Linked DNA regions of Astyanax mexicanus. The protein of the gene in region 2 purifies or fractionates together with the protein of the main gene of each other region. This does not show direct contact. Links are inferred from orthologs where the notes say so. Each region holds a gene or a part of one and is shown on either strand. Other genes may lie near its edges.

The links.
Region 1: the proteins of mettl9 (region 2) and slc39a10 purify together in Homo sapiens (co-immunoprecipitation; 3 studies listed by BioGRID and IntAct, with this or other methods). This does not show direct contact. The link is inferred for Astyanax mexicanus from reciprocal best matches to the Homo sapiens genes METTL9 and SLC39A10.

The regions. Positions count from the first base shown.
Region 1 is NC_064418.1:17,814,121-17,821,099, forward strand, and holds the start of slc39a10 (zinc transporter ZIP10), read right to left. Parts: upstream 3,004-6,979; 5' UTR 2,812-3,003; intron 1-2,811. UniProt on the Homo sapiens protein: Zinc-influx transporter. When associated with SLC39A6, the heterodimer formed by SLC39A10 and SLC39A6 mediates cellular zinc uptake to trigger cells to undergo epithelial-to-mesenchymal transition (EMT).
Region 2 is NC_064422.1:28,297,755-28,305,467, forward strand, and holds the start of mettl9 (methyltransferase-like protein 9), read right to left. Parts: upstream 3,024-7,713; 5' UTR 2,871-3,023; intron 2,708-2,870; coding exon 2,543-2,707; intron 1,074-2,542; coding exon 883-1,073; intron 540-882; coding exon 330-539; intron 1-329. UniProt on the Homo sapiens protein: Protein-histidine N-methyltransferase that specifically catalyzes 1-methylhistidine (pros-methylhistidine) methylation of target proteins.

The DNA of each region.
Region 1 (6,979 bases), on a different chromosome or scaffold from region 2:
GATCAGGATCACTGATTTCTCAAAAATGTAAAGTTAAGTTGTCCATACCTCTATGCTACAAACACTAAAAATTTGCGGAAAGTGGACAATGAGCGCCATAAACATAGTAAACTGTAGCTACAGGTAGAAAAATAGTCAGCTTACAAACTGAGGTAGAACTTCTGCTCTGCACAACACAATTAGATAGATAGATAGATAGATAGATAGATAGATAGATAGATAGATAGATAGATAGATAGATAGATAGATAGATAGATAGATAGATAGATAGATAGATAGATAGATAGATAGATAGATAGATAGATAGATAGATAGATAGATCTATCTATCTATCTATCTAATTGTGTTGTGCAGAGCAGAAGTTCTACCTCAGTTTGTAAAACTTCTTGGTAGAACTTCTGCTCTGCACAACACAATTAGCAACAGCACTAGTTATAGATTCTCTCCTTCCATGTCTGTGAGTGTGTGTGTGTGTGCGTCATGCTTAATTACTTTCCCCTGATAAGTAAGTACATAGAAAAGCAAACAGAGTTGTAATATTAAGACATTTATGCATTATATTTTAACAGATTACATTTAACAGAGCATTTTTTTATTAAAGATTTGCCTCAGTGTACTCAGAATTGTGACAAAGTTGTTCTATCTGATATTTGATTTTATAAACATCTCATTTATTTAAGGAAAGATGTATATTTAAATTGAAATAGTAGTACTTCTTTATTTTGTAATAAAAAACTGTATGTCCTCTGCTCTCATTCACTCATCGTTAAACCAAACAAACACAAAATTAGAGAACACAACAGAATTTTTCTTAAAATCAGATCCTTCTGCCCTGTGCACTACAATGCACATTTTATAGGTACTTTTTAAGCATGCTCTGTGCAGTTACACATTCACACTAAAAACTTAAGGACTGTCACTTTAAGCTGATGTCATACCAAGTTAAGTCAGTGTGTTTAGACGTTCACAATGAATACTGTAAACACGTCATTATACATAATTCATATGGTAAGGAAAGGAGATTTCTTGCAAAGTAAAAGAGAAAGAGAAATTTTATGGATCTGTCTTCATACTACAGTGATGGACAGCTTTACAGAACGATTAACAAAACAAATTTCAACTATGCCATTAATTCAGTGCTAAATAACACCAACTTATACAAATACATAATCTACAAAGCGTAAGATGAGTCAGTAAAACATTGGTAATTTCAGTCTTCAGACTGTTTGAGGCTAGACTTGAAAATGGAAACATTGGTGTAAAACTTTGTTTCATTTTTCTATTTATCAAACTGAATAGAAAATGGGGTTTTTGTCCATTCATAGTTTTTCCATTTCTGCATTTCATACTAACAAGAAACATTCCTGAAATTTAGAATTTCACACTTTTCCACAACTTTATCCCTGACCTGTCTGGTGTGTTTCTTGTTTTTAATCATGCTGTTTAATTATGCATTATCTCTATAAAATCTCACAGGGCTTCATGAAACAGCTGTAATTCTGCTCAGAATAAATTACATAGAGATAGACTCTACTTACTAGCTAATTAGGTGACTTCTGAGAGTAATGGATCACATTATTTTATTTTTATAGATATCAGAGTACAAATGCAGGCCACATTTTTTAGATTTGTATTTACTTAAATCTTTCCTAAACTATGTATTCTGCATGTTCATTTTACAACCACATGCAGCTTTGTGTTGGTCTTTCACATAAAACCTCAATCAAATACATATTTGTGGGTGTAACGTGAAAAAATGCCGGAAAAGTTCAAAAGGTATGAATACAGTAGCAGTCAAAAGGTTTTTTTTCTCTTTTTATGATGTTTTACAATGTAAATGTGACACTTAAGACATTAAGGTTACACAGAAACGCGTAATTGTTCTGTAAACAGGGTGTTTAAAAATAATATTTGGCATTTTCTCAGTGTCTTATGAGTCACCTGGAATAGAGTCGCTCAGGAGCAGGAGTAGCATTTTGAGATGCCAAGTCATTAATTTGAGATACTAAGGTGTTATTTGAAGATGTTTTTGCTGACTCAAAATAAAGACTTAGTATCTGAAAATAATGACAGTCATATCTAGTGCTTACACGTGGAGCTCAGGAGCAGACGCACAGTGAGGTAAATAATGGAAAGGGTAATTAGCTAGTTAGCAACTTTAACAACTGCATATTCGTATTTGGTTGACCTACACGTTTTAACACGTTTATTTTTTATTAATGTTTATTATTATCATCATCATTAGTGGCCGAATGCGAGCTAAATAAGCGTTGTAATCCTTTTTGTCATGACCCGAATCTTAACACACCACATGTTCCCTAGCTAAGCTAGTGAACTGGCTACAGCTAATTTACCAGATTCACTGTTTGTGTTAGTTAGCTAGTTTAGCTTAGCTCAGCTCACTTAAACTTAATTAAACAGCACAACTATTAACCAGCTAACTAACCCAGTTAACCCAGTTATATAACCCAGTGGTCTAAAGGCCGGCCAGTAAAGCTCCAGGTTTAGCTCAACATTAACACACACAAGCACACACTAGCTCACATTAGCCTAGCCTAGCCTAGCTTATCTTAGCTTAGCTGAACGAGCTATAGCGCTGCGTTAGAGCCGCAGCGAGGGCAGGACGGGGAAATGTCCGCCTTAACCCGCAGCCCAACAACAAAAGCTTCGCCTTTTTTCCGCCGCTTAAACCGAACTAACTGCTCCAGACCGACCCCGGTTCGGGCAGCCGGCCCAGCTGCGTGCTGTTAAGCTGCCCGGGTCGCTGCTGTGAGAGCGAGAGATGAAACCGCGGCGTTTTTATACAGTTACCTCACTCGAGTGCCGTGTGCATCTCCTCTCCGCTCGGTACCAAAATCCTCACTGCGCGCAAAACGCGGCCGCCACACAGGCGAGAGGCGGCATTCACCAACTCGCTTACGCAGCAGCGGCACGCCCCGCTCCGCTTTATGCAGCGATGGGGCGCAAAGTGCGTAGCCCCGATTTCTCGCTTTCAGGCTGCGCCCAGAAACTTTTCCCCGGATTAGAGAAGAGGAGCTCCCCGTTCCCGCCACCTGAACTAACACCTGAACTAACCCCACCAACCCGTCCAGGAGCTCTACACTCAACTTCACACACTACATCACCACTTATACACAATAAGTCATTATTTTGAGGTGTAATTAAAATGTTTCTTGCTGACTTTCAAAATAATGAAAAAATTACAGTGAGTTTGGCCTTTTTTATTAATTTCTTATATTTTATATAAAAATATTTATTTTAATTCTCTCTTTTAAATGTAATTGTTATTATTTTTTGTATTATATTTCTTTTGTTAGTGGTTTTTAAAAGATTCCTTTTTATTATTTTATCTATAATAATAAATAAAAGAAATGCACTCATTGTATACTATACATATAGACTATAACCTCTCCTTGCATTTAGTTAATGTATTGTTTGTCTATAATCATCATCGATCAACGAATGAGTACTACATTGTTAATCTGCTTATAGTTTTAGCAAGATGTCATTTTTTGCTAAAACATTTTCTTATTTATAGCCTGAATATAATTATTTGGAAAGAAAAACTTTTACTCTCTCAAATAATAATACAATAAGCTGTTTAAACAGTGGTTTTATTTATTTATTTATTTTCTTCAGTAAAATACATTTTTATTAAAAATGATTAAATATACAAACATCTATAAAAGTCTTTGGTTAATAAAAATGGTTAATAACCTATAAAATACAACATTTCTAATTTGCAAAAAGATGTAAGCATTTTGTGTTATTTATTTTCTATAATTGTTTATTTGTTCCTAATATGTGATGCTATTTGTTCTACTGTCATGTAGATGCATGGATTTTGTAAAGTTGTATTATTTCTACGTTGTTGCAAAATCTTAATAAATAAATAAATTGTTTATTTATTTGAAATATGTGCTTGTGTGCTCATTGCGGTGATTGTATTATTTGTATTATTTTGGAAACATCATAAAAAAATAAAAGAAACAATGAATAAATTAAACTAAAAATAAATAAAAATACATAGGACAAGTTTTGGTCATCCCAAACTTCTTCCATTTATGGATTATTGAGGCCACTGTGCTCCTATGAACTTTGAATGCTGCAGAAATTATTTTGTAAGCTTGGCCAGGCTTGTGCCACAATTCTGTCTCTGAGCTCTGATTCTCATTTGCACAGACGCACTGTGAGGTCTTATATAGACAGGTGTGTGCTTTTCCTAAGTTTAATTAATTAAACACAGCTGGACTCCAATGAAGTAATCTCAAGGAGAATCTGAAGAAATGGACAGCATGTGAGTTAAATATGAGTGTCACAGCAAAGAGTCTGAATACTTATGACCATGTGACATTTCAGTTTTCTTTTTTAATAAATTTGCAAATATTTCTGCATTTCTGTTTTTTTCTGTCAAGATGGGGTGCTGAGTGTATTTTTTATTTTTTTATTTTAGCATTTCAGTCTGCTGGTTGAGATTGTCAGACAAGTGGACAGCATAATTAGCCAGCAGACTTTGTCTGAGGGAGGAATCTGTACCTGCTGTCTGTGGTCAGCAGATGAGGGAGATTTAAAGTACTTTTAAATGATGAGTTTTGTGCTTCTGTCACAGTTAAGCATGATCTAGCCTGTGGCTGTTTTGCCATTTAGCACAAGCACTAATGTGTGGTAAATGCTCAGCATAAACATGGGGCATTGCCAGAAACTGGACTGGAATTTCATCAGAAACGACAGAGTATTACTGGTGCTCGTTTCAGTCTGTGAGACAGTCGCAGCTGTTGAGCAGTCAGGTGTTTGAGACGTTAAGATATCGCTGACCTCGACCAGAGAATGAAACTGTACAAACACACCACTTTACCACAGGATATGCCAAGGTCAGGCCATGACTGGTGTACATGTCACATACATGAAGACTGAGCTCTTTTAACAGTAATTAAACAGCTAATTAACTGGTCTGCACTGGTCAGCTAATACTGAGCGTGTTTTGAAAATTAATTTAAAATGCATGTATTTTTAAGATAAGATCTGTGCAAAACAGATTCACTCGTCTTGTTTCAGTACTAATTTAGCCCATGATTACACATTAAACTTTTAACTAGAGACATTGTGTGACTAACCTAATTCTGGAGCCAATAAAATATTTTAGGAGATAAAACATGCATGATTGACAACACATGGTTTCATGATCAGTGGAGGTTAAATAAAAAAAAAAAAACAATGCACAAAAAGGTAAAAAAAAAAAAAAAACTAATACAACTGTCATTTCTGCATATTCATGCAGCCAATATGTTATGTAATGAAAAACTAAGCCATTCCAAAAATAGACATTTTGGTAAAATTAGTTACCTTTTAGGTTCCATGCTAAGAACATTTAGCAATGATTTGAAAATTTTCCAGGATGGTTAGCCTGTATTATGACTTGATAATGATTTGCATTACAATGTTATTAGAACATTTATCACATAACACTGCCAGTTAGATAGTTAGTTAAAAGTAACATTTCACAAGTGACATTTTATTAAAAAAGTGTAAGGGGCCTATTTTAGTTATCTATAGCGCAGTTATCAGTTGCGCTTTGTGCAGATGGATTTAGAGGTGTGTCCTGTTTCTTTGGTATCATAATGATGCAAAACAGCTATAATATAGCTTTATAGATCTGTGTATTTCACATTTCTTTGAAGTTCAGGTTTTGAAGAATTGACGGGCAGCGTGAGATGCAAGAGGGTGGTGGCAATGTGCTTTGATGTTTTTTTAAATATAAACAGTATAAAAGCAAATCAGTTAAATAATAGCTAAGTGAAATAAAATAATTTATGATCAATCGAAGTGCTTTTTTCTTTTCCTTTCCAAAACTGCAGGATGTGAAAGAGAATGAGTGAGAAAGAGCATCTGTCAAATTCTCAAACAGCAGAATGTACTGAACATAAATATGAATCCTTATAAAGGTCAGAAAAAATATAACTAATAATAACTTTTAGTTGCTGTGCAAATTTTTAAGTATGTTATATTTTATAGTTGATTGCTATCCAGACATGATTGCACGGCTGATTGTTGTCAGGGTTTTAATCAGTCAGTAGTGCACCTGTGTTTTCTTCTGCCAACATAGGAATGCACCAGATGTTTACCTGAACACATGTTGCTTTCAGACCTCCATACCTATCTGCATTATTATATTCCTTAACTCTAAGGCTATGTTAACGAGGCGTTAAAATAGACTGTTGACGGGGTGTAAGATAGCGCCTTTCACAGGCTGTACGATAGGGCCCTCAGAGACAGAGCGCACCTGGCAGTGCACTGATTGGTGTATACTTAAGCCCAAAACACACACATGATGATTTAAGATAAATGATCCATGACTTTTGTGTGTTTCAAGCTGCTCTAGGTGTACTTTTCCTATAGTTACAATAGCAAAGACACTAAATCAAGCTTCACAGTGCACGGTTTATAGCTCAACTACAGATCGCTAAAATAGAGTCCATTGTCTTCAGCATTAGGTTGTAAGACCACTAGTCCATAGTACGCTCAAAAACCCCTAATATCACACCCTTTCCATATCCTCCAAGGCCTCAAGTCTTGGCCAGAATTCTGGTCTAATCAGTGTATCCAGGGCTGAGCTGATTGCCTGGAAGTGAGAGCAGGTCCAGTTGTGCAGCTGATGATGCAAATTATTCAGTTTGCGCACCTTTAACCTCTTGCATGCTGCATGCACTCTCACACAAGCCTGCTTTACCACTGACTGTGGATTCTAATGAATAATGATCACTTTCATTCAGCCGAGACTGCCCTTCCATCACAGAGGACACTTTCAACTTTCAGATTACAAAGATGAATGATAATAGCACAAATTAGCACAAGTAGCTTCTTATCATCTCATACTAGTGTGAAAAAGGCCATATGCCTGATAAAGAGTGCGTGGGAAGTATGGATTCTCCATAGCAACAGATTTCTTTCTCACAGGAAAGAATGACATGCAAAAGTTTGT
Region 2 (7,713 bases):
TGCTCTAAATGACAATATATTTATTTGAAATTTGGGAGAAATGTTTTCGATTGTTTATAGAATAAAACAACCATGTTCATTTTACTCAAACACATACCTGTAAATAGCAAAATCAGAGAAACTGAAGTGGTATCTATTTTTTTTCCAGAGCTGATGTCAGTGTTAACACTAAGAACATTTCCCTTTCATAAACTCTAAAACATTTTCAAGATTTTAGAGAACATTAAATTGTTCCTTAATACAAAAAAAAAAAATAATAAAAAAAAAAATATATATATATATATAATGTAATAAATCATATATATATATATATATATAAATGAACACACTTGTAGTTCTTTCTCTGGAGCTGCCATTTCATTGGAGGGGACACCTCAGTGGCATAAACCTCTCTGAAATGAGAGCCCATGACCTCTGTGACGCCACCATCCCCAGCCCCTAGGTCTAGGAGCCTTTCTCCTTTCCAGTCTGAGTCAATTTGGAGGAGATTACGAAACTGATCCAGTGAAAAGACAAACATAGAACCCCGACCTAGAAACCTGTTTACAAAAAAACAAACAAAAAAAAAAAAACAGTAAAACATCAAAAATAGAGGTATTAAAGAAAATGATATATAACTATTAACCATAACAGACTGTGGTTAATAATAACTACAACTAATATTAAGCTGTCACTGAGACTGATAAACATACTAAGGTAAACAAAATTACATTTCTGTCTTAATGTTATATGGTTTTGTCTTTAAAAATTAGAACTAAATAACTTTTTTAAACACCTAAATCTTCATCACATCACATCTGTGATTAAATGTTGGTTGTGCCTGTGTAAATACATTCAGTCAACATCTCTAAACAAAATGAACAAAGTGTTGCTACGAGTTACCCATTAATGGACGTTCTTGAGATGATGGGACTGAAGATGGTGGAGAAGAACGAGTGGTAGAGTTGTGTGAAAAGCCATCCAGATTTCTCTACACTGTTTTCAAGAAAGGTTTGAGTGTCTGTGTCTAAATTACTCTGCACAAACAGTGGTCGAATCTTCTCACCAAGCATATCAGGACAGCAACGGTACCACTGAAATTACACAAGGCCCATCCATCAATCACATGCACATCCCTGATGAAGAAAAGCTGGTCATCTATTGTAACAAAAGTCAATGACGCAGAATATCATCATACTAATATTGCACTCAAATGTCTCCAGGTTTAAAGTAAAACGAATGATACTGGATAGATATTATCAGCCTCTAGTAGAAATATAATGGGAAATGAGAACAGTGTAAAATTTACTTTTGCTAAAAACAGCCAGAAAAGTAGTACCCTGATGTGATGATTAGGGGTGGGTGATATGCACGATATTTCAGGGTATAATATCTTTAACACTATTCAAAAATGTTGCCAATATTATTGCGTACAATACAATATGTCGCACCTCTAATCACAATTATCAAATAGTATGGTGGTTGTGTGAAATTTATTGTACAAGTCAATAATGTAACTATTGTGACAGGCACAGTTACAGCAGAATAATCTTTAATTTAATTTAAAACAAAACCATGGTTTTTATATCACCAAAAATATAGTTATAACAAAAATACCCTATATAACCCTATATAACAAAATATGACCCTAAAATATTTTAGGGTCATATCGCCCACCCCCTAGCTGTCATAGCTAGCTCACTAATTTGTTTAGCTTGGTCAATAGGATCATGGTTTAGACCAGCTAAACCATCAAACCCAAAACTAAAGCTAAAGCATGCTCTGTAGCTCCTGAACAACAGCTAAGCGGGGCAACCAGTCTAGCCAGCTCAAGCTGGTTAGACTGTTTTTTTTCCTAAGCAGAGAAATCCTTCTCATGAATATTCACTGAAATATTGAAATATATATACAAATCTGGAAAAAGTTAAGAGACCACGTTAAAAATCATTAGTTTCTTTGATTTTACCAAATTGAAAACCTCTGTAATATAATCACGAGGAAGATGAATGACCACAAGCCATTATACCAAACTGAACTGCTTGAATTTTTGCACCAGGAGTGGCATAATGTTATCCAAAAGCAGTGTGAAAGACTGGTGGAGGAGAATATGCCAAAATGCACGAAAACCAGGGTTATTTCACCAAATATTGATTTCTGACATCTTTAATACTTGTAAATATGAACATGTTTTCTTTGCATTATTTGAGGTCTGAAAGCTCTGCATCTGTTACTTCAGCTATTTTTCATTTTCTGCACATAAATGCGCTAAATGACAATATTTTTATTTGGAACTTGGGAGAAACGTTGGCCGTAGTTTATAGAATAAAGAAACAATGTTCATTTTACTCATATACCTATAAATTGCTAAATCATAAAAACTGATTCAGAAACTGTAGTGGTTTAATTTTTTTTCCCAGAGCTCAAGAGTTCAGAAATTAATATTTGACATAGAACAGTCCTTACATCCTGGCACTAAACCCTCAGTAAATCTGAGCAAACACATTATATATGTATATTACATAGGTATATTATTGAATTCACGTTAAAAAGAAGGGATATTTACCTCCTGGAAGTCTGGCCCTGTAAACTCAGTGTCGGTCACCATGTTCATAATCGCGGCTCGAGCCAGAGGACTGCGGACGTACTTCCCAGACCACATCCTCCTCCGCGCTGCTAGCAGAACCGCCACATAAAGCACCACCCAGCCTCCAAACAGCAGAGCCCTCATCTGTACAGAGCACACAGCCAGATAAATAAATAACACACACAGGTCCTGAGCGACCTCAGCTCCTCTTCTATTACAACTCCCTGAGGAACATTACTCCAGGTGCTGCAGGTATAAATACACTTAAATACCCCCCCCCCAAAAAAACACACAAACACACACAGACCTGAAGGCGTGGTGGAGATTAGAGGACCCCATCTTCTGTCAGAGAATCGCTAATCCCAAAAACACACCGATAACGCGTTAATAAAGCGCTGCATCAGCGAGGCGCTGCTGTTAAAACAGCTACTGCACTACAGTAATGACGGAGAGCCGGTGGAGGTGAAGCGCTTCCTGGGTTAGATGCAGGGTTGCCAGGTCCAACAAAAGTATCCAGCCCAAAGTCAGTCTAAAATCCTCCCTTCAAAAGCCTAACGTGTCTATCACAAGTTCGGAGCAAATGGCAAATTTCGAGTGTACGACTTAGTATTTTGTTTATGAGGGATTTATTACCAGTATTGCTATTTATCTTAAAGTCATTAATAATATTGTAATATTAGTGTTTTATTATTTATTTTACAGCAGTTTTATATCACAGTCAAGAACATTTAATAGTAACATAATTAGCAAAACAATAACGTTTAATTTCTCTTTTCTGTTCTTGCCCCTCTCGAACTCTCTTCTCTTCTCTTTAATATTTTTTCCATCATTTTCTGGTTCTTATTGATGTAATCAATCTTCCAATTATTAATTATTTTAGTGTCGACTCGTACACGTTTGACATAACAAGACGAACCCCGCTTTTTTGTTTTTTGGCGGACGCTGTCATTTTTAAAAGTAGCCCCAAAACGCACCTTGCCACCCCAGACTTTTCACCGGCTAATGGATTTTCAAACAAGCCCGATTTGGCGCAAAAACGCGAATCTGGCAACTCTTGATATGAATTCCTTCGTCATCAGTGTAATCCAGAGGCGTGTAATCAGCTCCAGTCCCCAGCAGGTGGCGCTCCACCTCCTCTCACTGAGTTTCACATTTAACATAAAATCATTACACTACAAATCTGGGAATTAACAGTAAAATAAAGAAAAAGTTAAACTAACTATATAACTATATACTTGTTAATGCTGTTAACAATAAAATATTCAATTGGGTTAAAGTGAAGAATTTATAAATTAGGAATTACACACTCTTTCAACTTTATTTACTCATTATTGTTTGTTTTACTGTTTTACTTCAATATATTTTAGACATTTAGTCCACTTTTTATAAAATGTCCCCCTTTAAATTTTATTTTATTTGACTTATTTGAGCTAAGTTTTGTGGACACTTAATGTGGATATCATTGTTTTCTTTTCCTTTTTTTGTTTGTTTATTGTTACTTGATGCGTTTTAGACACTAAAAAGGTCATATTTTGAAAGTTTTTCTTTTGAGGATTTTCTTTTTTATTTTTATTTTGCTCTTTTACTTTAAGCAATTAAGACACTCAACTTTTTTTAAGATTTCAGGAGGAATTCTATTTGGCATTTTTATTGTTTTATTGTTTTTTTTATTATTATTATTTGATTTAGTCTCCAAACAATATTTTCCAAAAAAAATGCTCATTTCGAATATTATTTGTTTTTGAAGTTTTATTACTTTTATTTATTTATTTTTGTTACATTTACTTTTTACTTAGTTTTTTGTTTGTGCTTTAGGCACTTAAGTCACCTTTTTTAAATATTCATATTTTGTGTTTTTAATTTTTTTTTTTAAAGGTATTTCTTGGTTTTATTTTTTGTTGTCAGTGGCTATATATACATCTTTATATACCATTACTGATTTCTATATTCTTTGATGGGTTTAAACACAAAAATAAAATTTTAAATGTCCATGTTTTCCTTGTTTGTCTTTTATTTGAGGGATTTTGGACTTTAATTTTGGATTATTTTGATTGCTTTCCGTTTATGAATTGTTTTTTTTTTTAGAAGAACATTTTTGTTTTTTTAGTTAGTCTTCTATTTTGATTTTTTTCTTCCTTTTTTTTCTTTTTTTGTTAGGGTCTTCGTTTACCTCGAGTGATGACTTCACAGGTGTACAGGTGAGTGGGCTGTTCTGATAGATTAGCGCGCGGGAACTCTCAGTGCGTCACTCCGTTATCTGCGGTACAGAGAGCGCGCGCCACGTTGATGGTGTTTCTGCTGAGAGTCATTAATGCACCTGCAGTACAGCCTCCTACTGTTCTAGCAGGACTGACCGCCTGAAGACCCGCAGATCCTCGCTGCAGATCTGCTGAAGCTGTGACTGCAGGCTGGGTGAAGCAACTCATCTACAGGGAGGTGATGTACAGTCTCCAGAGATCTGCATGATAAACCTGTTCCCTGTGTTCCTCGCTGGAGAAGCTCGCAGACATGATTTCTGAGGGGGAATTCGAGATTAAAGAGGAGGAACCGTGGTACGACCACCAGGATCTGGAACATGGTAAGATCATTTTTACTGCACTGGCAGTGATAGTACAGTCAGAGTATGAATATAGGCAGCTGGGTTCTTCGGAGAGAAGACAACATGCTGTTGAACAGCTTATCACAGACACTTTTACAATACTTTAAGTTTAAGTTAAGCTATATGACTGTACACTGTTAAAATATAGGTTTCTTAAATAACTTTTAGGGGCTCGTACCTTTGGAACAGTGGAGAAACCTTTTACTGTGCTTTGAGGAACATTCGAGAACATTTTTCTTTTAAAACATTCAAAAAACCTAAAGCAAAGCACCTTAAGGGTTTTCTCCACAGTTTCTAATTGAACAATCCTTACAGGTGTATAAAATGTTCACGTTTGGTCTGCTTGCTGTGATTTATAGTGATTATAAAATAAAGTAATTGTCATCCTCTTTGTCTTGGGAAAACATTCAGACTATGTAGTCAATCAAAGTCTGTTTCAGTGCGGAAATGTGGCTTTTTGACAGTTCAGTTTGCACCACATCCTGTGACAACTCGGCACTTTCACACCATCAGAAACCTGAAAGACACAAAGGTACCCAGATGCTAGCTGCTAGAATAATCCAGTCACATTCAGTCCTAGTAGCTGGTGGCCATCAAATGACATTTGTGACATCACAATATCAGTTCATTCAGGATGTACTGTTTTAACTGTTAAATTCTAAATCAAATCAAATTTTAATTTAATTTATTACATAGCTCTTTTTGTTTTTACAGCTGAAGTCACACAGAAGTTTTACAGAAGTCTGTTAGCAGGACAAAGAGTCTAACGTAATATAAAACTTAGAACATAAAATCCACAGTGAGCAACAGTTAAAAGGACAAATTCTCTCAAAGCTTGAGGAAGAAGTCTTGTTAGGAAACAAGGCTCATACATAAGTGGAGACCCATTCTCCTCTGGTCAGAATACTTTATTTACTAAATTAATAATTAAAAAAAGCGTTATACATACATTGTACATTGCTCTCATATATTCAGGTGTACTGATACAATGGTAACAGGGACAATAGAAATAATGACCATGATGTATGAGGGTAAGGGTAATGGTGTCAGTTTATGGTCAAGGGGGTGAAAGTCAGCGTTCACAAATTTTTTTTTCAATTTATGTTTTCATTATGCCTGTCATGAGTTAAATAAAAGACACAAGACATGTTAAGATAAATAATGTAATCATTTTTAGGCCCATTGATGTAATAATGGAAGTAATTCTACTATTTTGATATTCAAACATTAGGATAGCAATACATAAAGATATCCTAAATATTTTTTTAATATTTAAATAAAACAAAAACATTTCAGTTAAAACATAGTCAACACATCAGCCGATTAAGGTGAATAGGCTCTGTGTTCACTAAAGAACCTCAGCAATTCCATTATATGAACCCTTAACAACTACAAAGCTGAACTCTGTGACCAAGTGCTCATTGTGACCAACAAAAACATATCCCAGGCCCTGCACTTGTGTCAATCATTTAATTTCTGATAAATATTGCGTTGTAGTATTACTTAGTTGCTTTACATTAGTGGTCAGAAAATCGTTTGACAATATTGGGCTTTCTTTTTTTTTTTGGAGTTGAAAGGGAGGACGTCTGAAATTAACACTGGGTAAAAAAAGGTAAAATCTTGAATAAAATCACTGAGAGGATTTAATTTTATTATTCCAAGGCACAGGCTTGCTATGGAAACTGCTGAATCACCAGTGTCATTGTCAACGGTCAAGTGAGTTTTACATTGTTGTGGGCTAATGTCCAAGAATCATTGGCTCCAATGTTGACACCTTTAAGCTTGTTGGCTTGCAACCACACCACGTGGACATAAAAAACAGCTCGTGGAGGAAAGAGTTTTGGGATCACATTGAGTAGAGATGTTTGGAAGAAAAACATTCAGGAATTTAACCCTAATCACTTTGGCTGTTCCAACTATTAAGCATGGTGGTGGTAGTATCACATTTGTGGTCTACTTTTCTGAAAGTGGAACTGGTATATTGCACAAATAGGATGGAATAATAAAAAAGTAATTTTTCAAAATAACCTCAAACCATTAGCGATGCAGCTAAAATATGGACACAGTGGTTTTCCTTAACTCTACCCAAACAAAGACATGAGGAAAGTTGGGCCTGTGCGTTGAAATCAAAATAAATATTAAACTTCCAGTTCTGTCTGTAATAGCAATAAAATATCCAAGCAGAGATCTGTCAAGTTTTGTTTGCATGGCTGCTAAACATATCTAGTCAAAGTGCAATTTAGTATATATGCATATATAATATTTTTGTGTGCATGTATGATCCTATATATTGTATGTAAGTTTGACAAGTTAAAAAAAAAGCACATCCCGATATTGCCGAGGCACATGTCCATAATAAGTGTATGTAAACTTCCGACCACAACTATATGTCATTATTTTGAAGGTGAAAGGTTGCATTATCAGACCAGTGAACTGATAATCCTGCATATTGTCACGGTCATAAAATTGCCCTTTAAACAGTGTGAGCACATGAAGATCAATGGAACAATGGAGGGTAAAAATCAATATAATGTGCCTTTATATAATGTGT